Drosophila melanogaster: one gene and its partners. The protein of the gene in region 2 purifies or fractionates together with the protein of the main gene of each other region. This does not show direct contact. Each region holds a gene or a part of one and is shown on either strand. Other genes may lie near its edges.

Region 1 (7,356 bases), on a different chromosome or scaffold from region 2:
TTCCCAATCGACGGAAGCAAATAAACCGTCCCAAAAAAATGATGGGGCGGCAAAGAGCAGAGGAGGCGAATCGGAAGTACTTGATGTTGGCAAAACCTCTTCTGTAAGGCCAACCACGCACGAAGTAATCCCTCCACTTCCCATGACCCTTCCCCTACTGACTCTCCCCCAGCCATTGGCCAAGCCTAACGATTACCAAACACCTGCCACCATATTGTTCAAAGGCAGTTCGCTGAGCAGAAATAACTCTTCGGCTTCTGAGGCAAGCAAAACGCCTAGTTCAGCATTCATTTTCGGTAGCACGGGTATGTATAATTCGACGTTGACCTCAAGATAAAAGGATCTAACCGCTTTTTATGTTCACTTCAGATAAATCGGAGCCTGGAAAGGATGCTGGCCCATTAGCTAATCTTCAAAAACTAGCATCAGGCGAAGGACAAGGAAACGTTTTGGGATCTATATTCCGTAGCGGCTCGTCAAACGAAAATTCGTCTGACGGTTCTGTCAAGTTCTTTTTCGGGGGTGGAAATAAAGCGGCTGAGCAACAGAAGAAAGATTCCTCAGAGTCTGTCTTCGGAGGCAATAAAGCGGATTCCCAATCGCCAGCGACCCAAGAAGCACCGAAGTTGGCCTTCGGTGGAATTGCCGCACCTGTGTTCGGAGACGCCAATCCTTTTGGAGGCCACAAAGTTAATTTGCAAAAATCAGATGGCAAGGAAGAACCAAAATCTATCATTGGCGGAACCCCATTGTTATTTGGAGGGTCCAACGCCTTTGGAATACCCAAAATTGAAACCCAGTCACCTGCTAAAGACTTTGTGTTTGGCAGTGCACCCGCTTTTGGACAAATGGCAACCTTCTCATTTACAGCTGCAAAAAATGAAAAGGAAAAGGACATAACCTCGAATAACACCACTGATCTTAAAGCCGAAGGCAAGGAAAAGAAGGAGTTGGTGCCGGAGACGACCAGCACATTTGCCGATTTGGCCAAGACAGGCAGCACGTTTGCAGATTTGGCAAGCAATCCGGGCGGCACTTTTGCGGACTTAGCGAACAAGACGGGCAACGACTTTGCCAACCTGTCGGCCAATAGCCAGGGCACTACCGTGGGATTCAACAAGTCCGCCGGGGGCGGCTTTTATAACCTCACGCATCAGAACGCTTTCAAGAACTTCGAGTCGCCGCAAGCCACAGAAGAGTGCGATGATGACGGCGACGCGACCACTGATGACAACTACGATCCGCACTATGATGCCATTGTAGAGCTGCCGGATGAGATAGTTGTCACCACGGGAGAGGAGAACGAGACTAAGCTGTTTGGCGAGCGGGCGAAGCTTTATCGCTATGACGCCGAATCGAAACAATGGAAGGAGCGAGGTAAGCTGTAGTAATAGTCCCTTTCTTATTCACACTAAAAGTTTTTATAAAACCAAAAAAAAAAAAAAAAGGTGTCGGTGAGATAAAGGTGCTGGAGCACCCGGAGCTGCAGACATTCCGACTGATCATGCGGCAGGAGCAGATCCACAAGCTGGTGCTTAACATGAATATCTCCGCCTCCCTGCAAATGGATTACATGAACGCGCAGATGAAGAGCTTCCTGTGGGCCGGCTACAACTACGCGGTGGACGCAGAGGGTAAAGTTGACACCGAGGGCGTCCTGGAACGCCTTGCCTGTCGATTCGCCAAGGAAGAGATCGCCAGTGAGTTCCTCAACACGGTCAATTCGTGCATAAAACGAGCCAAGGCCTTGCAAGGTGATGAGGAGAACAAGAATGACGACGCGCCGGAGGAGCAGGCGAGCTCATAAGCAAACCGGATCTAAATATATGTAGCATGTCTAGGATTGTGTTAGAATATTCATCCAAAACAGTAGCGACAATGGCTATTTCACATTTTGCTAATAAAATTTCGATAAACATTAATATTACATTTGAAATAAATTTGACTATTGAATAAAGCAATCGATATATTAGAGAGGAGACAAATTCGGACGTACAACCATATAGCACAAGGAAACTGGCTATGTTTTTATATATTAAATGTACCTCTACCTATTTTTAAAATATCGACAGCACTTAGATAAAAAATTAAAACAAACAATTACCTTTCGCGATAATCGCTCAACTCCCGATTGTTCCATCCCCAGCCGATAGTTTGACAGCCCTGCCACTGAGAGAGCATAATGACGTGGTGAACTCTGTGTGAAAAAAGAACAATAAATTGCCGACAAATCTCTAGTGTAATTAAATTAGTTACCGCATAGAAACGCACTAAACTGTGGCCAGAACTTTACGAATCCCGAATACTGTCTATATAGCAATCTCAGGAAACTGACAGTTGAAACAGCCCTACAACAAGGAGGAAGAAGAAGAAGGCGACGACGGGCGGTGCAGAATATGAATTAGAGAATAATTAGCGATTGAAGCGCGTCTAGTTTGCCAGTTGGCCCATTTCGTGTTTTGTTAGCCCCTTTCCGGCAGCCCCTGCCCCCGTCCCGGAAAATTTTGCAATTCCCGAATCGATACACGTGTGCAGCGAGAACAACGACAGCGTCAAAGTCAACAATAAAAGTCGAGGGCCGGAGATTAATGAGAGACTACCGACGACGACCATGATGAACGAGGACAGCAGTGCTGCCGGCGGCGGCGGGGTTAAGAAGTTCTTTCAGCGCCTCTCACAGGTAAGTAATTGTGGATAGCCCGTACGTGCCGGGAACTAACCCGCATCCTTTGCTTCCGCAGACCTACCAATCCGCCTTGGACCGTAGCACACCGCACACACGAATGCGCTGGGTGTTCGCCGGCTTTCTGCTCCTGCTCTTTGTGCTGCGCATCTTCATCTATCAGGGCTGGTACATCGTGTGCTATGCGCTTGGCATTTACCACTTGAACCTGTTTATCGCTTTTTTAACGCCCAAGATCGACCCGGAGTTCGATCCGTATTCGCAGGATGACGAGGACGAGGGACCCAATCTGCCAACTCGCAGCAACGAAGAGTTCCGGCCATTCATTCGCCGCCTGCCGGAGTTCAAGTTCTGGCTGTCGGTGGCGAAGAGCACGCTCATCGGTCTGATTTGTACGTTCTTCGATTTCTTCAACGTGCCGGTATTCTGGCCCATCCTGGTCATGTACTTTATCACGCTCTTCTGCATCACGATGAAGCGCCAGATCAAGCATATGATCAAGTACAAGTACTTGCCGTTTACCCGCAATAAACCGCGCTACCAGCGGGTGAATGATCTGGCGGGTTCCGGACCCGGTTCCGTGGCGGGCAACTCAAAGTGACAATTAGCCGCACAGACGTCGGACACGCGGGCGACGGCAGCGGGATCGGGTGATCCTTCAAATGCCTCTTCTGCAGCTGCAGCGCCACCATCACCAACCAGCGACAGCGCAGCGACCAAGGATGTGGGGTCGCCAACAGCATCGTCCATCAAACCACCGCAGATCATTGCCATTGAGGACTACTAGAGAAAGCTACCGAAAGCAGCCCGGAATGGGAACCAGCAGCATAACATCAACCAGAAACAAGCTTATAATATGATTTTCCTTTTCGGTTTGTGTAGCATTTTTCGTTTCACTGTTGAGTTGTCGTACGGCGTCTTGTGCAAAATACCTTGTTTATTGTTTAATCTAACTGCTTGTTTAAATTTATATTTATTTACAATGCTTTCTATCTATTGTAAATCCCAAACGATACCGAAATACTGCAGATCAGCTCTAATTTAGTTTTTCATCCTAATCCTAACAATAATTTAATAACTCTTCTATCCAAAAAGTAGACTTACTGTATTTGAATCCAATTATTTTTGATTATCGTGCTAAGATGCTATAATAATATGTCTAAATATATATACAAACATATATATATATATATTTTGCATTATGATTATACAATTTTTGTTAGCGTTAACTATACAGAATGTTAAAAAAAGGCGAATTGAAAACTGAAACTATAGGAAGTGTACACTGGGTGCGTCTTATGAATAAAGAAAGACAAAAGAAAACCAAATAATTTATCGTTGAATTTTGAACCATTTGGAAAAGGTTGATGGCTTTTGTGGCGTGGTTTTTGTATTTATCTAATCGCTTCTGCATGTAGTTTGCTGTTCGATTTTAAGATACGAAACCAATTTTGATTAGGCCAATGCGTGAAATTGCTTTAGCGATTAGCACAATCACTAAGTGGTTATTTAAAAACGACTCATTTTCTGAACAGTAAATACATTTTATTTTTGTTAAAACGAAGCACACACCAACAAAACGAGCACACGTCATCTAGTCTAGAAAACACGATACAAATAGTTAAAACCCTAGCACGGCAATAATAAAAAAGTTCAAATGCACATACAAATATATATATAAAAATGAATGATAATACGGGAATTGTAATATATGAATAGGCTAACCATGCAAAACAATCGCACATTTTGATTAATTATAAAAAAGTGATTTAATTATGGGCACTTGGGAATACTTTAAGGGCAGCGGGACAAGAGAGATTTCACTTGGACTCCACTTGCGATGTGGCCTTGGCCTTATCCTCTCGAGCGCATTTGCGTATAACACTATTGAAGTACTTGTGCAGAGCGTAGCTAACTATTCGCAGTGGTCCCAAAACTATGGCGTGCAGAAGATTGGTGAAGAAGCCATCCCAAGGAAGCAATGCTCCACCCAAAGTGGTGATCAGCCAGCTTTCTGCTCCAACAGTTGAGGTGAATTTTCCCTTCTACAAATAAGAAAAAGTATTCTAGTTAGATTGCGTGAATATTAACTATGGGTAACAGACTCACCAGGGCATCCTTAAGTATAGCTTTCGCCATAACTTCCGGCTCTATGAGACCTCCTCCACCAGAGATTATTTTGGTTTCCCTGGGCTTTGACTTCTCCTCCTCCTCGAATCCGGGTGTATTCGTATCGCAGGGCATGGCCAGAGTGACGCTGACCCCGTGCTCCCGAGACTCCATTGCAATCGTTTCAGCCATCGCTCTCAGGGCGTACTTGGTGGCTGAGTAAGGACCGTATCCATAGATGCCAAACATAGCCGCCTGTGAGGCAGTGATTACAATAATGCCGTCGCCGGCTTTCTTCATTTTGGGCAGGACATAACGGGTGCAGTTATAGGTGCCGAAGAAGTTTACGTTCATCAGCTTGTGGACATCCTGGACTGAGACCTCCTCGAACACACCGCAAATGGCCATTCCGGCACAGTTTATTAAAGTGTATATGGGGCCGAAGCTATCTTCGATCTCGCCAAGCACTTTGGCCACCTGGTCATAATCGCCGCTTATGTCCAGACTTCTGTACTGGAACTTTTGATCTGGCCGCTGGCGAATCACTTCCATCAGAGCCACTGCTCCGCCTGCAAAAAAGATCGTATATCAAAGATAAGAGTATTTTGGGTGGGGTTTCCTAGCCAGAACATTACTCACTCAGCATTTTCTCGTCGCGCGCTATCACCGTCACATTGGCGCCTTTCATGGCGCACTCCACCGCCAGACAGAGTCCGATTCCCTTGGAGCCGCCGGTGACCACCACATGACGACCCACAATGCTCCTCGGTTTCTTGGCCATGACGAACACGTAGACCAGAACATGAACCAGCACCGCAATGCCCACGCAGAACACTATCTCCCAGCTCAGTTCCATGATGACAATTTCAAGAGGGTGCGATAATTCCCGGATTCTCTAATCTCTTACGCTGGCTTATCTGCACCCAAAGTTAAACGTCTGATTAGAAAGTGCATCTAAGTGTGACCGTTGACGCAAACCGGATTTCTATCGAAAGCTTTCGACGCACATCAGAGATGCAAATGTGGCTATAAGCGGCCAAGCAAATATTTTGTTCTTCAAAACTTTTTGTTTAATTTTATTCATAATAAATTAAATGTGCAATGGCTACCCATATGAATCAACAACATAAATATTTACTAGATCTTGAAATAAAGTGGTTTGATAAAAAAGGTTAGATCTTAGTGCGCAGCACTGACCGCATGTGTCTGCTCCAACCAAACTGTTTACTTGTTTCGAATTTGCAATTTAAAAACATTGAACGAAAATGCCACCGAAAAAGGATGCGAAGAGTGGAAAGGATGCAGGGAAAGGTGGCAAAAAGCCAGCCGCCGAAGACAAGTGTAAGTGCTTACGACTAAAGCAAAAATCCTATCCTTCAAATGAATTTTGCCATCTGCAGCTGCCGGTAAGGAGAAGAAGGGAGGCAATGCTGTAAAGGTTCGTCACATCTTGTGCGAGAAGCAGGGCAAGATCACCGAAGCGATGGAGAAGCTAAAGGCAGGCCAAAAATTCCCCGAGGTAGCGGCTGCTTACAGCGAGGACAAGGCGCGACAAGGCGGCGATCTCGGATGGCAGATCCGAGGAGCGATGGTGGGCCCATTTCAGGACGCCGCCTTCGCATTGCCCATCTCCACTGTCAACAATCCCGTGTACACAGATCCCCCGATTAAGACCAAGTTTGGCTACCACATCATCATGGTGGAGGGAAAGAAATGAACATTGATTTTATAAATCGAATTTTAATGTGATACGGATTTTGTTTCTTTTCATTTGTGGGTTCCCGAAATCCCGTTCACTTCTTGCCCGCATCTTCCTTCAATCCCACAGTGCGGTTGAACACTAGGTGGTTCGCACTGGTGTCAGGATCTACGGAGAAGAAGCCAATCCTCTCGAACTGGAACTTGTCGTAAACCTTGGCCTGGTTTAGGGCCCGATCCGCGAATGCCACCACCACCGACATGGATTGCTCACTGATGTCGCTCAGGAAACCGCCGGGCACCTCGTTGGGATCCTCGGGATTCTTGTGCTTGAAGAGCTGCTCGTACAGACGCACTTCCAGCTGTATCGGCTGCGATACCCACTGGACAAAAGCCTTGGGCTTCTCGGCCTGCTCGGCAGGTTGGCTGGTGCAGATTAGTTCCACCACCTGACCAGTCGCCGGATCCTTTACTATCTCATCCACGCTGATTACGAGACCCGCGTGCCGGAGACCCACAGATTGCTTCGGTGCCAGACGACGGTATCCCTTTTCAGGCTCCAACTTGAAGTCTCCCTGCTCAATATAGATCACCTTGTCTAGGGTGATCTTATGAGTTCCTTGCTGTGGGTTTTGCGGGAAATCAGGCACTTCTAGCTGCACGGGCGCTGCATGAGGGAAATTCTTTATGGTAACTTTGAGCGGTTCCAGGACAACCAACCGACGGGGAGCTGTAACATTTAGCACATCCCGCACTGCTGCCTCCAACATGGCGGGGTCGACGGCGATCTGGGCACCCGTTACGCCCATCTGGGCGCAGAAGTTGTTGATGGCCTCTGCTGGGAAGCCTCTACGTCTCAGAGCCGT
Region 2 (9,638 bases):
TGTTCTGCTTGCGCTTCCGCAGATTCTCCTTGTGCTCCTTGCGAAGGCGCGCCTGCTCCTCGGCCTCCCGTTCCAGTTCCTCCTGACGACGGACGGCCTCCAGTTCCCTGTGGATGCAAATTGGGATGAATCAATTAGTTTCTTACTTCTTACTTTTGGATACCGTTCCCACACGATTTTTGTTAGCTTGTTAGCTATTCTACGCTAATCGAATTTTAGTACCTTATCTGTGGTCATATCAAGAATGCTCAGTTTCATTTGATTATCGTGCGACACAAAGACTGACAATATTCCTTCTTTGGAACCTATCTAATGGTGCAAGTCATCTTAAGGTGCACTCATGAGCACCTTTTTTGGAAAGCATAAAATGTGTTTGCATGGTGACATATCGTTTTCTTTCTTTGTTTCTTAATTGAATTGCCTATATTTAGAAGAATTGTTCTAGCTTGTGAATATAAAATGCTAACTAAAGGCTATGACCAAAATTTCAACTGAGAAATGAGAAACTAACCAACTTTTAATATTAAATGATATCACTCTGCATGCAATGAACATACAGAAACCACAGCGAATTAACGATAAGAGTGGCAATGTAAGTTATCAAAACCTGATGCAATACAAAACTAGAATTATATTCTTTTGTTGCTCTATATACTAAGATATTGAAGACTAAAGTAAGAGAGGTCTGCCAAAACTCCGAGCACAAGGTCGCAAAATAATAATCCTTCCGCTGCCAGGACCTCTCGATATAGAAACTTAATGAAATAGCAAAATCCTACAACTCCAAAATGACTACAATGGAACAAGGCGCTATAATAACGTAAAAACGTAAGGTAAGCAATAGAACCCTGCCACTTACTGCCTGCGCTTCTCCAGGGCGAGTTCCTTTAGCTCGTTGGCCTTGCTGAATCCGTTCTTGATGGTGCGCGGCAGGTTCCACAGGGCCAAGGGGATCTGGATGGGCAGGGTGTTGAGTAGCGAGGGCATCGGTATCTCGCTAAGGATCACGTCCATGTCGATGTTCTTGTTCTTCTTCTGCAGCTTCTTCAGCTTGGTGCCAAAGACCTGTTCGGCGGTGTACTTCTTCTCGAGGTAGGCCGCCCAGGCGAATAGATACTGGCCCACGGTGGTTATCAGGAAGAGGATAAAGGCGCCCTCATAGAGCCCGATCTTGCGCATACGTCGGTAATAGTAGAGGGCAGACTTCCAGTTGGGCATGCCCTCCTTCAGTACCCGGTCGTACTTCTCTCGGCGCGACGGATCTTTGAGAACCTCGTAGATGGAAACGAGGTTGCGGAACTGGATGTTGGCATCCTCGGCCGGATTCTTGTCCGGATGCAGGACAATGGACAGGGTGCGGAAGGCGCGCTTCACCTCGGCGCCCGTTGCCGTTTGGTTGATGCCCATGAACTCGTAGAAGTTGCGGTTTACCTCCTCGACCAAGTCAAAGATCTCCAGTTCCTCCGAGTGCCAGGCGCTGGCGCCAGTGGCGCAGAGCAGCAGGAGGCCGGCCAGCGTCAGCTCCGGTCGCATCATCATCGTGGTCCGAGTTCCGAATCCAGGTCAGGTCCAAATCGGAGTAAAATCCAAATTTAATGCGCCAGACCCACGCACGCACCACAAATACACACACACGCAAGCAAACACGGATAGGCTCAGCTGGAAAGTGGCAACGTCAGCAGACTGGTCGCTGGTGCGACAGCGTTGCCACCACTCGGTAAAGTTTGTGTAGACAAAAAGATATTTGCAACGTTTCTATTATTTATTTTTACGAATTTCTGTTTTTTTGTTCAAAAATAATTTACTGCACTAATTCTGTAACCATATATATGTAATCAAATTTTACAAATTTTTTTTTCCAACTAACGACACACAGTAGGTCAAACAGATTTCGTTTGTTTGCTCATTAAAATTTGCTCATAACATTTGTCAAGTTCTTCCTGAAAACAATAAAACAAATTCTCTTTCTATACCGAATTTTGTTTTAACTTGATACACGTTTTTCACCTGTTTCAAACCAAAACGCCCAACACTGTCGACTGTTATCGATAAGCTCTCGATGGTGCATCACTTGTGCAACTAAATGAATAGAAGCGACGCGACGTTTCACTCTTATAAGAATAAGAAATCAGACGACAATGAAGCTGCTCTATATGCTGTGGCTGCTGAGCATCTTGGTCCTGGTCTCAGGCCAGCAGAAGCAGACAGCTAACTCCGCCACCAAGGACGCCCCAGTGGTGGCCAATGCGACGAACGTGCTGCAGGCCAAAGTTATTCCAGGATCGAAATTGGAATCTGGATCTCCGGGAGCTGCCAGCCAGCTGGTGCCGGGTAAGGATGCAGCTGTGTTGCAACAGGACAAGAACTTAAACAAAACGGCCACAGCAGAAAATGCAGGTAAAGCCAAAAATCTCACAAACACCGATACAGGAGTGCCCACCATTCCTTTGGTCACTTCCAAGCCGGCTGTGGAGCAAAAGGCGGCCAAGGAGGCGACCAATACGACCTCCACTACAACTTCTTCCACCACGACCACCACCACCACGGCAAAGCCAGCTGCAGGATCAGCCATAGTCACCGAGGGCCAGTCCATGAAGGATGTCACCAAGCCGAGCAACTCGTCCACCAACGGCGCGGCAATATCCCCGACCAACAGCACCCACACCGCCACAGCCACCACCAAAACTGTCAATTCAACCATCATCGCAACCACGCCAAAGCCGAAGAAGCCCCCAGTGGTATTGAGCACTGATATACACCAGGAGGGGGAGGATATGGCGGAGCTGGAAAAGAGTCAGGATAAGCCAGGTACAAAGGGCGCTCCCACCCAGCCATTGGCCACACCACCAGAGCCATTGGTGCAGGGGCTTACTGGAAGTAATCTTGCCGATCACGGAGAGAACGGGTATGTGGTACCCATTGTTACCGTGCTGCTGACCGTTCCGCTGGCCATCGGCGTGGTGACCATCATGTACCGCCGCTTCCGCGACATGTGGAGCACCAGGCACTACCGTCGCATGGACTTCCTGGTGGACGGCATGTACAACGACTGACGAAGACGCGGACGACAGGCTGGCGGCAAGGGCGGCCACTTCACCGGGTGCTCCAACGCCTCCTCCGGCGCACTCGGATGATTATTAGTTGTTTAAGTTATACACGACTGGACGTGCTTGCATTCAATGCAAGATCGCCGGATCGAAAGCAGAGTGAGAGTAGCGGAGAGCAGAGGAGGCGGTGGGAAAACGAAACGAAACTATGATATTGCTCAGTCAATTAGAGGAGGAGGAGAAAGGGATTCGCTTTGCAGCGTGGCTAGGATACCCTTCCGAGCGGCCAAATTGAATTTAAAGCCAACTGATTTTCAACACTAAATTCGAGTGGACTCTTAAGTTTAAGCATTTGGATTATTGTCAAGCATTTGTTAGCAATCAAAAATTGATACCGGCACTTATATGTACCCTATATATACATATATCTACTTAGGCTGCTGCTGTACATCGAAGGCTGCGGACTCTCAACCATCAACCATCAACATCAACATCAGCGCAATTAGCAATCACTTGATGCATCCACAATCTAGCCGTAATGTGCCTTACGAACCAGCTCTATATACACCTTTACACATGATATTCTCCATCGCCGGGTCTTCGAGGTGATTTCTTCGCATTTACTTTACGCAACCAAGCAGCAGCACTCACTCAAAAAAAAAAACCAGCAGAAACCAAAAACACAAGCAATCGGCCTGAAACAAGCAAATTTATTGCATACCATGTGTATATACATAAATATGAATATATATATATATATATATACATATTTCTTATTGTTATTAATTTAACAACTACAATAAAGCAACAAGGCTAAAAAAAAAAAGATATATTTGGAAATGAAGTTTATTTATTAAGAGCCTCGGGCACTACTTGTGCCTCTATGATATCGTTTTTCCTCGTTTTAAAACAAAACTAATTGCTTATTCTGTAAAATGCAAACAACCGCAGTCTTGAATGTCACGCTAATTACTTGGTTTTGAATAATTCATTGAAATGTTAGCAATCAATTAAAAGGAAATTAGATAAAAACAGATATATATATGTGATATTTTAAATAACAAATAATACAGGATTGTAGTTAGTCGAATAGAACCCAAATTCAATTAATTCCTTAATAATTTTTTTCCAAACTCATTTTGGTAGTGTAAATCATGATTTATGCTTGCCAGCCCCGTTCAAATTCAAATATCATGCACTAAATCTTCTGGTTAACCCATTAATGTCTTCATTTATGCTTTATGGTTGGGAACACGCAATCGACTCCAGTGGCCAGATTTCCCTGGAGATTCGAGGCTACCAATTGATGTGCGTCCGGAGCTGTGACCTTTGGTGATAATAGATCACCAGCGCCTGTTCCTCGCGTCTTGATTTAGACAAATGGGGAACGAGGAACTGCCTCCATGCAGCCACCAACCCACCCACCTACAAATGGGCAACCTCCAACCAAGCTATGAAATAATGGAAGACAAGCGAGGAACTGCCGAATGCTCTCGATGAAGTGGTTTATAAATGATCTCCATCTGCGAAGTTGTTCGTGGATCGTTTCAATAATTTAAACAAAAAGAACTAAACTGCCAACAAAACGATCCATTCCGCGTGCGTGTTAGTGTGTGCCGGGAAATTCGGAAAAGCGGGAAAATCGTTCGGCCACGAAAATGTGTGAAATGAGCCGAACGATTGCCGCTGCCAGCGTTTTCACCTCTGTCTAGGATACAGTTTATGATACCCAATAAAGTGTAGGACCCAGAGGGTATAATGCATTTATGAAACATTCGTTAACCAATTTGGTAATATATCAAAGATTTGAGAAGTTTTAGCAGCAATTAATTAAAAATATAAAAACGTTAGGGAATTATTCATATTAAATATTCAAATAATTTATTGATCAATGCAACATAATAATTAGTTAATAATTAAACTTTTATTTTAAATAATAATTGGTGCTTCGTTTTGAGTATGCCATTGTGAATTGAATGTTCTTGTTAAAAGAAAAATTAAGATTATAGATTATTTTTGTTATACGATTTTGGTATATATTCAGAATATATGAAAGGAAACTTCAAAGAGATTGATTCCAATTCGAATTTCCACTTTGCATGAAATATGAAAATGCAAAATTAGAGTGCACTTTTACATGGTATCTAGCAGTCGGGACACCGATTGGTATGTGGAATAGTTTTATACTTCCTGTCTTCGCCTCTGCGTTTGGCTTTGTGTTCGTTCTTGGCGTGCTCATTTCAAAACGTGCGCTGGACGCGTGCAGTTCTCCAGTTCGACCAGTTAACGTCTGATACCCGTGGAGTGGAAATCGCATCCCTCCCATCCAATACGATCCGAGAACGTGTCCTGCTGCAATGCATCCTGCCTCGCCGCATCAGCACCGCGCCCGCCTGCATGTCGGATCGCCAGGATCGGGTGGCATACAGGCCTCCTCCTCCACGGAGACCTTCCCACTCACTCCGCAGCACCAGTCCTCGCAGCACGCCGTTCACATCCCGCCGCCCCCCTCCCTGCCCTACCAGGGACTCAAGACCTGTAAGCATGGCGAAAAAAAGGGTTAAGAATCTAATGATATGATATGATATGATATGGGATATTCCATTTAACATTGATCGCGGATTAACTTTTTAAAAAATCATTCATTCATATCAGGTCTAAAAATATGATCAGTGGTATGTTCAATTGTGTTGCGCCTTGTTAAAAACGAACTAAAAGTGATATACCCAAATAAACAATGGTATAATTAATGTTCATCGAAACCGAAAAACAAACAGCGAGGTATTCGGAAAATATACAATACTTGAGCACTTTTATTCGAAAGTTTTTATGACCTTAATCAAGATATGCAAAAGAAATAATATTTACGTAACGAGTTACTCTAAATAAACGGACTAAGTTTAATTGTTTCAATAGCAGTATTATAAACATCTAATTCAACTTTAGACATTCTAGTAATTTTACTACAAGGTATATACATATATATTAATCGTCCGACAAGTTTTAATGATATATATGAACTATATACATCTGCTGGAAAGGCTGAATGAAACAATTGTGAGAATCTTACTATTGATTACTTTTAATTCATTCATTCAATTAACATTCTATTGCCAAAACATTTGCGTCTTTTTGTCTTGTTTAGCTAAACAATAAAGTACTTGTAGCCTGATTAAAAAGTGAATGAAATAATGATCGCAGATGGCCCAGTCGTGTGTGTGTGGCAAGACTTCCTTGATATCTGGACCGGATTTCCAGATGCATATAACCAAATAATTCGCTCGGCGATTTGTTTAGCTCATAAAACTACACGCACATTGACTGCCAGATACAAATAGTTTTTCACATTTTCCCACCGCACCCACACACATGACCTCACCCCACAGAACTCTAGTGCTCCAGAATAATTCATAATGCATAATTCATAAATCGGCCAAATGTGCGATTAATGCGATACGAAACCATAATCAAGGCGCGAGGTGAGTCAGTGAATCACCAGAGTGAATCAAGTGAATCGTATCCATGCATCGATCGATCGTCGCGACCACCTATGAAGTATGCAATATAAACTGTGCGCCGACATATGAAAATAAATAGAGATGATCGGTGCGGACCGGATCGGATCAGATCGGATATATGTATATGGTACGGATCGAAACTCGAGAGATAAACAGAGCGCCGGAATGGGCAACAGCCAGGCACGGGCGCAAACATGGCCAGTTGTGGAGATGTGGAAATCAGTGATCATATTCAATGTCTGGTCCATAGCCATAAACAAAAAAATGCCCAGCCATGTTGTACATAGTTAGTCGAGCATAAAAAGCAAAGGCAGCCCCGTTGCTGGGTATTTATGGAACTCCTGGGCATTTGTACTAGATCAAAAGCAATTTGTACAAGTTAATTGCCCCAAAAACAAAAACAAAAAAAAATACAGTACCAATCGTGGAATATGCTGGCGCAATTGAAACAATCAGGTCGATCACCGAAATCACCGAAGCCACTTTTCATTGTAAACAAACAAACAGCGGCCATTTCGAAAGGATCATAAAATAGGTAATTGGAAAACACATTATTGGGTCAGTCACTGCTCGCTTTCCCTACGGAAAATCTACGGAAAATCTCAACGATTTGCCAAATCCAACTGAAACATGTATCTTTTATCTGTTTGGCCAGCAGTTGTAAAGATACATCCATACTCGTACTTAGTATTGGGATCAGTTTTCATTTGATGGAGTGTATTCAGAAAGTTATAATATACTCGTATGTTTTTAAGCTAAAGTTAAATGCAAAAATGGTGTCCATTTTCATAACCAATGATATTAATTGCATATCTATTGTTTAAGCTTTAATAATAAATATTAAATTAAGTCCAAAATATTACAAAATGTTGTGAGAATTGATTGTCCTAAGCAAAAGTTTAAAAACAATCATACCAGCTAATCATCATCATAACCAATCATACCACTTTACATACTGCATACGATGATCTTCAAATCTTGCAGCTGAAAACGATGACATGGGCTGCGTGGAGATCCTGGCCACGGTGGTGTCCGTGCTGATCATGGTGCTAACCTTTCCCATCTCGGTGTTCATCTGCTTCAAGGTGGTCTCCGAGTACGAGCGAGCGGTGATCTTCCGGATGGGGCGACTGCGCAGCGGCGGAGCCCGTGGTCCCGGGGTCTTCTTTGTGCTGCCCTGCGTGGACGACTACTATCCGGTGGATCTGCGCACCGTCTCCTTTGACGTGCCGCCGCAGGAGGTGCTCTCCAAGGACTCGGTTACTGTGACGGTAGATGCGGTTGTCTACTACCGCATCAGCGATCCCCTCAAGGCGGTCATCCAGGTGTACAATTACAGCCATTCGACGAGTCTCCTGGCGGCCACCACGCTGCGCAATGTGCTCGGCACCAGGAATCTGTCCGAGCTGCTGACCGAACGCGAGACCATCTCGCACACCATGCAGATGTCCCTGGACGAGGCCACCGATCCCTGGGGCGTTAAGGTGGAGCGCGTGGAGATGTGAGTAGCCAACTGCCGAAAGTCGTGATGTGATCATGACATGATCCACTCTATCCATGATCCGCTTGCAGCAAGGACGTATCCTTGCCAACTGCCCTCCAGCGGGCGATGGCCGCCGAGGCGGAGGCAGCGAGGGAGGCGCGGGCCAAGGTCATTGCCGCCGAGGGCGAGATGAAGTCGTCGAGGGCTCTGCGCGAGGCTTCCGAGATCATCTCGGCCAGTCCATCCGCCCTGCAGGTGAGTCATCTTCTTCCATCTGAATCCAACCATCGGACATTTGGAACTGGCCCAAATGGTTTCATTCGTTCCATCTTCTTCTCTACTTAGTTGCGATACTTGCAAACACTGAGCAGCATTTCAACCGAGAAGAATTCGACCATCATCTTCCCGCTGCCCATGGAGCTGCTCACGCCCTTCCTGAATACCCAAGCACACTCGCAGCAGCTGCAACTGCAACACCAGCAGCAGCTGCAACAGCAACAGCAGCAGCATCAGCACCAACAACAACAACATCCTGCGGCTCCTGGCACGCCACTCCATCGACACCCGCACCAACACCACCAGTGACGCTCGATGTCGGTGCTGCAACCATATCTGGAGGCACTGCATCGCTGCGAGCTGCAGCGTCAGCAGAAGCAACAGCGAAGCGGAGCGGCTGCAGCGGGAGCGGCGGATGACGATGACGACATCGTGGGTTTCTTGCTCTAGTGGAACGGCGGCAGCAGCGACAGAAAGCGGAACTGTCCGGAAAATCCGGAAAATGAGTCACCAATGAATTCGAATGAAAGTGCCATGGAATTCCCTAGATTCTGGAGAGATTCAAACATGGTTCGGACTTAAAAATAAATTTTTTTTTTTTAGAATTTATTCTAATATGTCGAATTTAGTATGCAATAGTAACTGAGGCTTTTCCAAGGCTTTTCCTTCTTCATTCACAGTCGTTTTAAGTAGAGACGTTATATTTAAAATAACCAATATTATTTGTTTGTATCTTAAGAATTAATAACAATAGCTAACTACAAACCAGGGTAAAAGCTAACCATTTAAATAAACCAAATGATTCAGAAAACACATTTTTTTTTTCAGTTCTTCCCCCTTTTTCGAAACAACAAAATTTACATTTATATATGATATATATATATGTATGTACATATTTGCTCTTCGCTTATCTAAATAACTCAGATTTGCATGCCACTTCAGCGAGTGTGGCAGATAAGCTCTTCAGTGCTAATGTGACCGCCAGATCAGAATTGAGTCACCATCGGGTGGCTCCAGCCAATGACCCGTGACCCCAAAGCAGAACTGCGTCTCAATGCTCCAGCTGAGATAACCGATTGATTAAAGTGCTAAACGCACTTGGGCCAGATAGAGCTTACTCGGCTTTCATTGATCGTCGGTCGGAATAATCTGAAAGTGTACGCCTCCAGTTGGCAATTCTTTCGGCGCAGTGCAGTGAATCATCCGTGGTGACCCATGGCTCTCGACTTACAGAGCGGCTCTTGGTGTTTCCCCGGTCGTAGATACACTACACTGAACGAAAATTTACGAGCCGATGCATTTACATTCCATTCC
Region 3 (7,325 bases), on a different chromosome or scaffold from region 2:
CAGAGACAAGAAAATTCTCTGGAGGTAAGCTTACCCATCAACAAATTTGCGAATGGAGTCTAGGGAACTTAGGTCCAGCTCTCGAGAGAATATATTCTGGTTATTTGTCTCCTTGATGATATCCTTGCGGGCCTTTTCACATCGGTTCATATCCCTGCAAGCCAAGTACACAGTTCCCCCACGTCTGGCTATCTCCAGAGCCGTCTCCTTGCCAATGCCCGTGTTGGCACCGGTCACAATGAATACCTTTCCGGTCTCATCGGTGTCCTTCGTAAACTTTCCACCTTGCATGTACTCCCTGGAATTATCAATAGGAATTACCTGAAAAGCTGTTATCTATTACCCGGGGGAATCATAGTAGCGAGTCATGGATGCGTAGTCACACTGGTATATTTCATAATTACACGAAATAATTACCGCAACTCACTTCAAGAAGTAGATGCCCACGCCGATAGTAGCTGGCCACATAATCAAGGGGCTCAATAAGCAATCGATGAAAATGCACATTTTGAATATCTTTGTACAATTCCTTGTATTTAGGGTGTTGTCAGATCTTATTTCAATCGTTGAGTGCGTTCTGGTACGAACAGCACAGCTGTTAATATATTACTGAGCACAGCTACCCCACACAAACATATATTATCGCTAATTCGGAGTGAGAACCTGACGAAATGGAGAACGTCGGGAGAGAGATTCTTAACGAAGGTCAAGAGAAAACGAATTCTCAATAATATGTTATGATAGTGGAAAGCATTCAAACAAATAAAAGCAATTCCATTGATGTTTATATTTACTCAATGGGTATATTACGCGTGGAGTAAAAGGGTATAATAGGTTCGCTGAACAGTATGTAACATATAGAATAAAGTTTATATTTAGACTTGATCAGCAACACTAGTCAAAACGATCCATCCAGCCATATCCGTCCGTTTGAACGTCGAGATATAGGGAACTAACTGATTCGTTATGTTACATACATACTTTCCAACTAATTTAGTATACCCTCCTACTCCAGGAATAACGGGTACAAAAATAAAGCATGAATCATCCAAATTGATTCCATCACTTTTACAAAAAAAACAAAAGAATTTGACCATTTTTCTTTAGTACTGAACACAGAAATGCAACAATGTTGATCTCAAAATACAAATTTTAGATTAGGTAAAGCTTTTTTGGGAGCATTTCTTTATTTTCAGCTTGTAGAATCCGTAAGAATTCTACAATTCAAACATAAATTATTACATTTTGCGTTAGTCTTCATTATGATAAGCTATTAAAATAATAAATTATGAAATGGCGAGGGATAAACTAATGGTTGCTTAATCAACTTTGGTTGAATTCACGCCGGTCCACTTCTCGCTCTCCGCCCAGAGGAACTTTCCAGTCTTGTCGTCCTGGGCAGCTGCGGACACTTCCTTTGGCTGGCAGTCGCTAAAGTAGAGCCCGGAAACATCCTTTAGTGCAGGATCCAGGGCTGCGTAGAGAGTGGTCTGCGCTCCATTGCGAGGGGTTTTGAAGAGTACCCACAGGAGGGGCTTGAGCAGTAGCCTAAGCGATACGAGTGTTAATATCAAACTCAAGTAGTGCCCACTTATGTCTTCTATCTTACTGTGCAAAGGGGTGTTTCAGGAACTTCCAATTCCTCGACAGCTCCGTGTCCACGGCACCGGGATGTAGGGAGTTGGTTGTGACCCCCGTTCCCTCCAGGCGCTTGGCCAATTCCCGGGTGAACAGGACGTTGGCCAGCTTGCTCTGACTATAGGCACCGATTCTGCTGTACGACTTTTCACTGTTTAGGTCGGCAGTTTTAATGAAACCTTGGGTGTGCACCAGGCTGGAAACGTTCACGATGCGACTGGGTGCAGTTTTCTAGTGAGATTAAGCAGGGAGTTTGGTTAACAAGGTGCTAAGAAAGTCCTGAGTACCCAAAATACCTTCAATACGTCCAGCAGCAAGTGGGTGAGCAGGAAGTGTCCCATATGGTTGACTCCCAACTGCATTTCGAAGCCATCCTTGGTCAGTGTTCTGGGACAGTGCATAACTCCTGCATTGTTTATCAGGACATGAAGCTTATCCTGCTCTTTCTTGAATCTAATAAACGAGGGAAATCAGTAACGCATTCGTCGATCTATCATGTTTGCGTTTACCCAGCAGCGAATTTGCGAATGGATTCCAGCGAACTCAAGTCCAGTTCTCGAGAGAATATGTTCTGGTTATTTGTCTCCCTGATAATATCCTGGCGCGCCTTCTCGCACCGGTTCATATCCCGGCATGCCATGTACACAGTGCCTCCTCGCTTGGCAATCTCCAGGACCGTCTCCTTGCCAATGCCCGTGTTGGCACCGGTGACAATGAACACCTTGCCGGTCTCATCGGTCTGCTTGGTGAACTGACCGCCCTGCATGTATTTTCTGAAATTCATTAATTCTTATCACTCTATTTCAACACAGGCCGCAATTCACGAGCGTATTAATCATTACTCAGCAGTAGAACTATTCCATGCAAATACCTTAGCAAGTAGGCAGCCAGTCCGATAATGGACGGCCAAAAATGAGGGGGCAGCACAAGCAATTAGTAAGGCAGCCCATTTTGTTTGGATACAGTATAGATCTTGCCGCCGTTTGTGTTCGTTTCACTTGCTGGTTCTGTCAATGAATGTTTGCCCGTCCGTTTGGAACTGCCTTTTATACGAAATGTACGCTATCTGCTCCAAAATACACGAAAGCCACAAAACGCTTACTCACGATGAGTTTGATTCGAAACTGCGAGAGAACGAAATATGTTTGGGGTTTGCTGAGAGCTTTTTGCTTCTAGTTTATAAAAACCTCATTGCAAGTCGAGCAAATGCATGATAAGCTAAATAACTATCTGCAAGTCTAATTTAATTAATACCTAATCTTATAATACCATATTATTCTATTATTATTATTCTTATTTATATTCTATTATTTTCGATTAGTTTTTCACCTGCTTCTATGACAGCTCATGACTTAAACCGAAATCATATATTGCTAAATAGTTCAGATTCTAGTGACGCCAAGGCAACGTTAACTAAATGTTTATTTAAAAAATGCAATTACTAAATCAGTTTATTTAAGATTACTCAGATAACTGGTTCCAAGACTTCCAGCCAAATGTTTTTAAAATGTTTGTAATGTTTTTACAAAAGTTGAACAGAACATCTAGCTCATTTAGCTTATTCTATTAAATGTATTTCAACAATACAGGGTAAGAGTTAAAAGAGTCATAAAGTTGCTCATATATTAATTCCCGTCCACTTTTCACTTTCCGCCCATAGGAATTGGGCATCATCGTCATACTGGGCGGCCGAGCCCACGTGCTTCTGCTTGCAATCGCTGAAGTATCTTCCAGATACTTTTTCCAAACTGGGATCCAGGGCAGCGTACAGGGTCGTCTGTGCGCCATTCCTAGCCGTCTTTATGAATATCCATATAATAGGGGCTATGAGCAATCTAAAGGCGAGCCGAAAGTTAATAGCTGATGGGATGATGCAATCAGCAAACTTACTTTCCAAACCACGAACCCAAAAAGGGTGTATTGCGGAACAGTTCCGTGTTTACTACTCCGGGATGTAGGGCATTTACCGTGACCCCTGTTCCGCTCAGGCGTTTCGCCAACTCCCTGGTGAAGAGGACGTTGGCCAATTTGCTCTGACAGTAGGCCATCTTTCTGTCATAGGACTTTTCGCTGTTCAGGTCGTCACGCTTAATCCTTCCGAAGCGGTGAGCAATGCTGGACAGGACCACAACGCGACTGGGCGCGGAACTCTTCAGGACATCGAGAAGCAGAAGTGTGAGGAGGAAGTGGCCCATGTGATTCACTCCGATTTGCATTTCAAATCCGTCCTCCGTCAGCATTTTGGGGCAGTCCATAATGCCGGCGTTGTTGATAAGAATGTGAAGCTTGTTTTGCTCCCGCTTAAAGCTAAAAAGTATTAAATTGAGTACCTTTATTTATATGTGTATTCATTAAGGTCAATAGGAATGTGCTTACCCAGCAGCGAAGTTCCTAATGGACTTCATGGAGCACAGGTCCAATTGGCGTGCGAAGATGTTCTGGTTGTTGGTCGCTTTGATGATCTCCCGACGGGCATTCTCGCACTTCTTCATGTCCCGACAAGCCATGTACACGGTAGCTCCCCTGCGGGCCAGCTCCAGAACGGTCTCCTTGCCAATCCCCTGGTTGCAGCCGGTCACAATCGCCACTCTGCCGGTCTCATTCGTTTTCGTGGTGAACTGACCTCCCTGCATATATTGTCTAACTGGCTGAGGTTAAAGGGCCATCACTGAGAGTGGACAAAACTCACCGGAGCAGATAGATTCCGATGGCCGAAAGAGCTGACCCATATGCCAGCGGGCAGAACAGGTAATCCGTGGGTGCACTCATCTTTCCGCTCCGAATGCTACCAGCTCCAAGTGGCGACTGGCCAGATCCAGTCCCCTTACACATTTCTTTATACGAGCAATATCAAAACCTCGGAATGTCCATACTTGAAACATTAACGTGGACCGGTATAAAACATCGTTTTAAGTTTAAGGTTGGAGGGTTTACGATTGCCGCGTCGCCGAGGGAAACGGATGCTTCCGTAAGTTTTTATCGTCCGGCCAAAGTTTATTATGTAAGCTGTATAGATAGAATCATAATAACCGTCGATCATAGGGTAATGTAGATATAGCTAAAGTGTATTACTAGAATGAGTTTCAGACCTAGGCTTTCAGATCGTCTTAAATGATGAATGTGGGAAAGCTCTCTATAAATACACCTTATTTAAGGCTCTGTTTTCACAGCAATCGATTTGTAAAAATTACATTTAATGACCAGCTTCTGCGATGACGAGGGGAAGTAGTTAGTCTTCCATGTTATTAGCTTGCATAAATTAAATGAAATGATAATTTTTGGGCAGCAGCTCCGTTTATTTTTGGATTGAGCAATACTTACTTAATTTACCATGTAATTTGTTGGAGAGCCTTTTGTTTTGTTTGGGCCTTTTACTTTCATTTGGCCATTTTCGTTAATGCGAATAGTACTAACACCCGAATTCGATTCGATTAACATACTGGCCGGAATACAATGAGCACAGGCTCGCATTCACCCGGAGCCATGTGGTCCGCCACCAACTTTCGCAGGCATCAAAGAAAGCCAAACCAAGTTCTCCATCGGTGGTTTTTCAAGGGCAGTGCCTGGATCATCTACGAGCAATATCAAAACCTCGGAATGTCCATACTTGAAACATTAACGTGGACCGGTATAAAACATCGTTTTAAGTTTAAGGTTGGAGGGTTTACGATTGCCGCGTCGCCGAGGGAAACGGATGCTTCCGTAAGTTTTTATCGTCCGGCCAAAGTTTATTATGTAAGCTGTATAGATAGAATCATAATAACCGTCGATCATAGGGTAATGTAGATATAGCTAAAGTGTATTACTAGAATGAGTTTCAGACCTAGGCTTTCAGATCGTCTTAAATGATGAATGTGGGAAAGCTCTCTATAAATACACCTTATTTAAGGCTCTGTTTTCACAGCAATCGATTTGTAAAAATTACATTTAATGACCAGCTTCTGCGATGACGAGGGGAAGTAGTTAGTCTTCCATGTTATTACCTTGCATAAATTAAATGAAATGATAATTTTTGGGCAGCAGCTCCGTTTATTTTTGGATTGAGCAATACTTACTTAATTTACCATGTAATTTGTTGGAGAGCCTTTTGTTTTGTTTGGGCCTTTTACTTTCATTTGGCCATTTTCGTTAATGCGAATAGTACTAACACCCGAATTCGATTCGATTAACATACTGGTCGGAATCCAATGAGCACAGGCTCGCATTCACCCGAAGCCATGTGGTCCGCCACCAACTTTCGCAGGCATCAAAGAAAGCCAAACCAAGTTCTCCATCGGTGGTTTTTCAAGGGCAGTGCCTGGATCATCTACGCAATCGCCTGCGGACTCCACTTCTTCAAGCTGCACTACAACGAGCGCACCAATCAAGTGGAGGAGTCGCAGTACCATCGAATATGGTCCAAGATCGTGGTTGTCCTCAAGGTCATACTGCTGGCCAGCCCGTATCTACAGTACTTCGTACTCGGACTGGGCATATACATCCACATCACACTGGTGCAGGACAGCAAGGCGCAGAACTTCCTAATGAGTCTCATTGTGCTCGGAATCGTGATAGGCGTCCTGCGGCGCCTACTAATCTTCCTGCACCTGAAGAGGGATCGCAGGTTCCTGAAGCATACTGTGAACGAGATCCTGCATATAACCAGCGCGCTGGAGCAAAAGTTCGGTATGGAGTATAAGTGCGACTCCACATTGCTAGTGGTGTACCTGGCTAAGCTGTGGATACTCACCGTCATGCTGGATTCCTTGTGGTACAAGCCCTACTTCCTCTCGTCCATCTTCCTCTACTGGGTGCTGTTGGAGTACTGCTTTGCTGGCTATTTCATTTACCAACTCATCCTGCTCAGCTGGTACCACACCATTATTCTGTTCCTGCAGCGCTTCATCGAGGACCATGCGAATCGGTTGGATATTGAGCTTCACTACCATCGGCGCCTGATCCCGCTCTTTGAGCTCCATTTGCGCATCAACAATCTGCATAAGCACGTTAGGGACAACGTCTCCTGGCTCTCGACCTCTGTTTACCTGATGATCTTCACCTGCATCTTCAACGCCGAACTGCTCATTGAATGCAGTCTGTTCGCCGGAGACGAGCTGGAGAACAAGATCTACATCATCACGGACGGTTGCTTGGGACCCGTCTGCGTTCCGATACTGTATGTGCTTATCCTGGGCATGTGCACCGATCGATTTCGCGATGCTGAAGTACAGCTTCAGCAACTGTTCGTAATCGTTCAGGGCTTGTATATGAGGAAGGTCAGGCCACACCTTCTAATCGCAATGGTTCTCGAAAACGAGGTGAGATCTGCTTCGGCAGCTGGCTTCCCTGGCCGACTTCTCCAATTCATTCCCAATTACATTTCCGCAGCACACCTCGTTGATAATTCACCAGAAGCTGAAACCGCTCGAAAATATGATCATCCTAGACATCACTTGCGACAGGGAGTTCGTCATGGACTACATTGTCACGGTGATCCTTACAGCATTGTCTCTTGTGCAGTACACCATATCAACTGGAGGAAATATAAGCGAGTGCGTGACCCATAAATAGCAACCCATCTGGACCACACTATTAGGAGGATGAGATCATTATATAACTGTGGAGCTGGACACAGTTATCGTATAATTGCGTGGGTCAAAAGAACTTCCTTAGCGCCTACAAAAGTGTATCTTTTGAAAGCAGAACTC

What was found.
Region 1: the proteins of CG33253 (region 2) and Kdsr purify together in Drosophila melanogaster (affinity purification with mass spectrometry, with the first as the bait; one large-scale study listed by BioGRID). This does not show direct contact.
Region 3: the proteins of CG33253 (region 2) and CG2070 purify together in Drosophila melanogaster (affinity purification with mass spectrometry, with the first as the bait; one large-scale study listed by BioGRID). This does not show direct contact.

What each region holds. Positions count from the first base shown.
Region 1 is NT_033777.3:25,256,753-25,264,108, forward strand, and holds Kdsr (3-ketodihydrosphingosine reductase), read right to left. Parts: upstream 5,747-7,356; 5' UTR 5,649-5,746; coding exon 5,432-5,648; exon of another isoform or gene 5,430-5,431; intron 5,362-5,429; coding exon 4,793-5,361; intron 4,729-4,792; coding exon 4,504-4,728; 3' UTR 4,211-4,503; downstream 1-4,210. Other genes in the region: Nup358 (nucleoporin 358kD), read left to right, coding at 1-305, 370-1,377, 1,449-1,807; CG11857 (uncharacterized protein), read left to right, coding at 2,612-2,680, 2,742-3,284; CG11858 (uncharacterized protein), read left to right, coding at 6,058-6,133, 6,193-6,509; GlnRS (Glutaminyl-tRNA synthetase), read right to left, coding at 6,586-7,356.
Region 2 is NC_004354.4:19,178,141-19,187,778, forward strand, and holds CG33253 (uncharacterized protein), read left to right. Parts: upstream 1-5,280; 5' UTR 5,281-5,404; coding exon 5,405-5,585; intron 5,586-6,325; exon of another isoform or gene 6,326-7,307; intron 7,308-7,549; coding exon 7,550-8,066; intron 8,067-8,137; coding exon 8,138-8,303; intron 8,304-8,393; coding exon 8,394-8,633; coding exon of another isoform or gene 8,634-8,774; 3' UTR 8,775-9,138; downstream 9,139-9,638. Other genes in the region: CG7556 (uncharacterized protein), read right to left, coding at 1-107, 860-1,539; CG7453 (uncharacterized protein), read left to right, coding at 2,139-3,053.
Region 3 is NT_033778.4:7,659,119-7,666,443, reverse strand, and holds CG2070 (uncharacterized protein), read right to left. Parts: upstream 4,590-7,325; 5' UTR 4,408-4,589; coding exon 4,328-4,407; intron 4,279-4,327; coding exon 4,015-4,278; intron 3,946-4,014; coding exon 3,529-3,945; intron 3,474-3,528; coding exon 3,257-3,473; 3' UTR 3,036-3,256; downstream 1-3,035. Other genes in the region: Rdh1 (retinol dehydrogenase 1), read right to left, coding at 35-298, 428-507; CG2065 (uncharacterized protein), read right to left, coding at 1,320-1,548, 1,610-1,869, 1,935-2,091, 2,148-2,404; Grl43a (gustatory receptor-like 43a), read left to right, coding at 5,856-6,935, 7,006-7,188.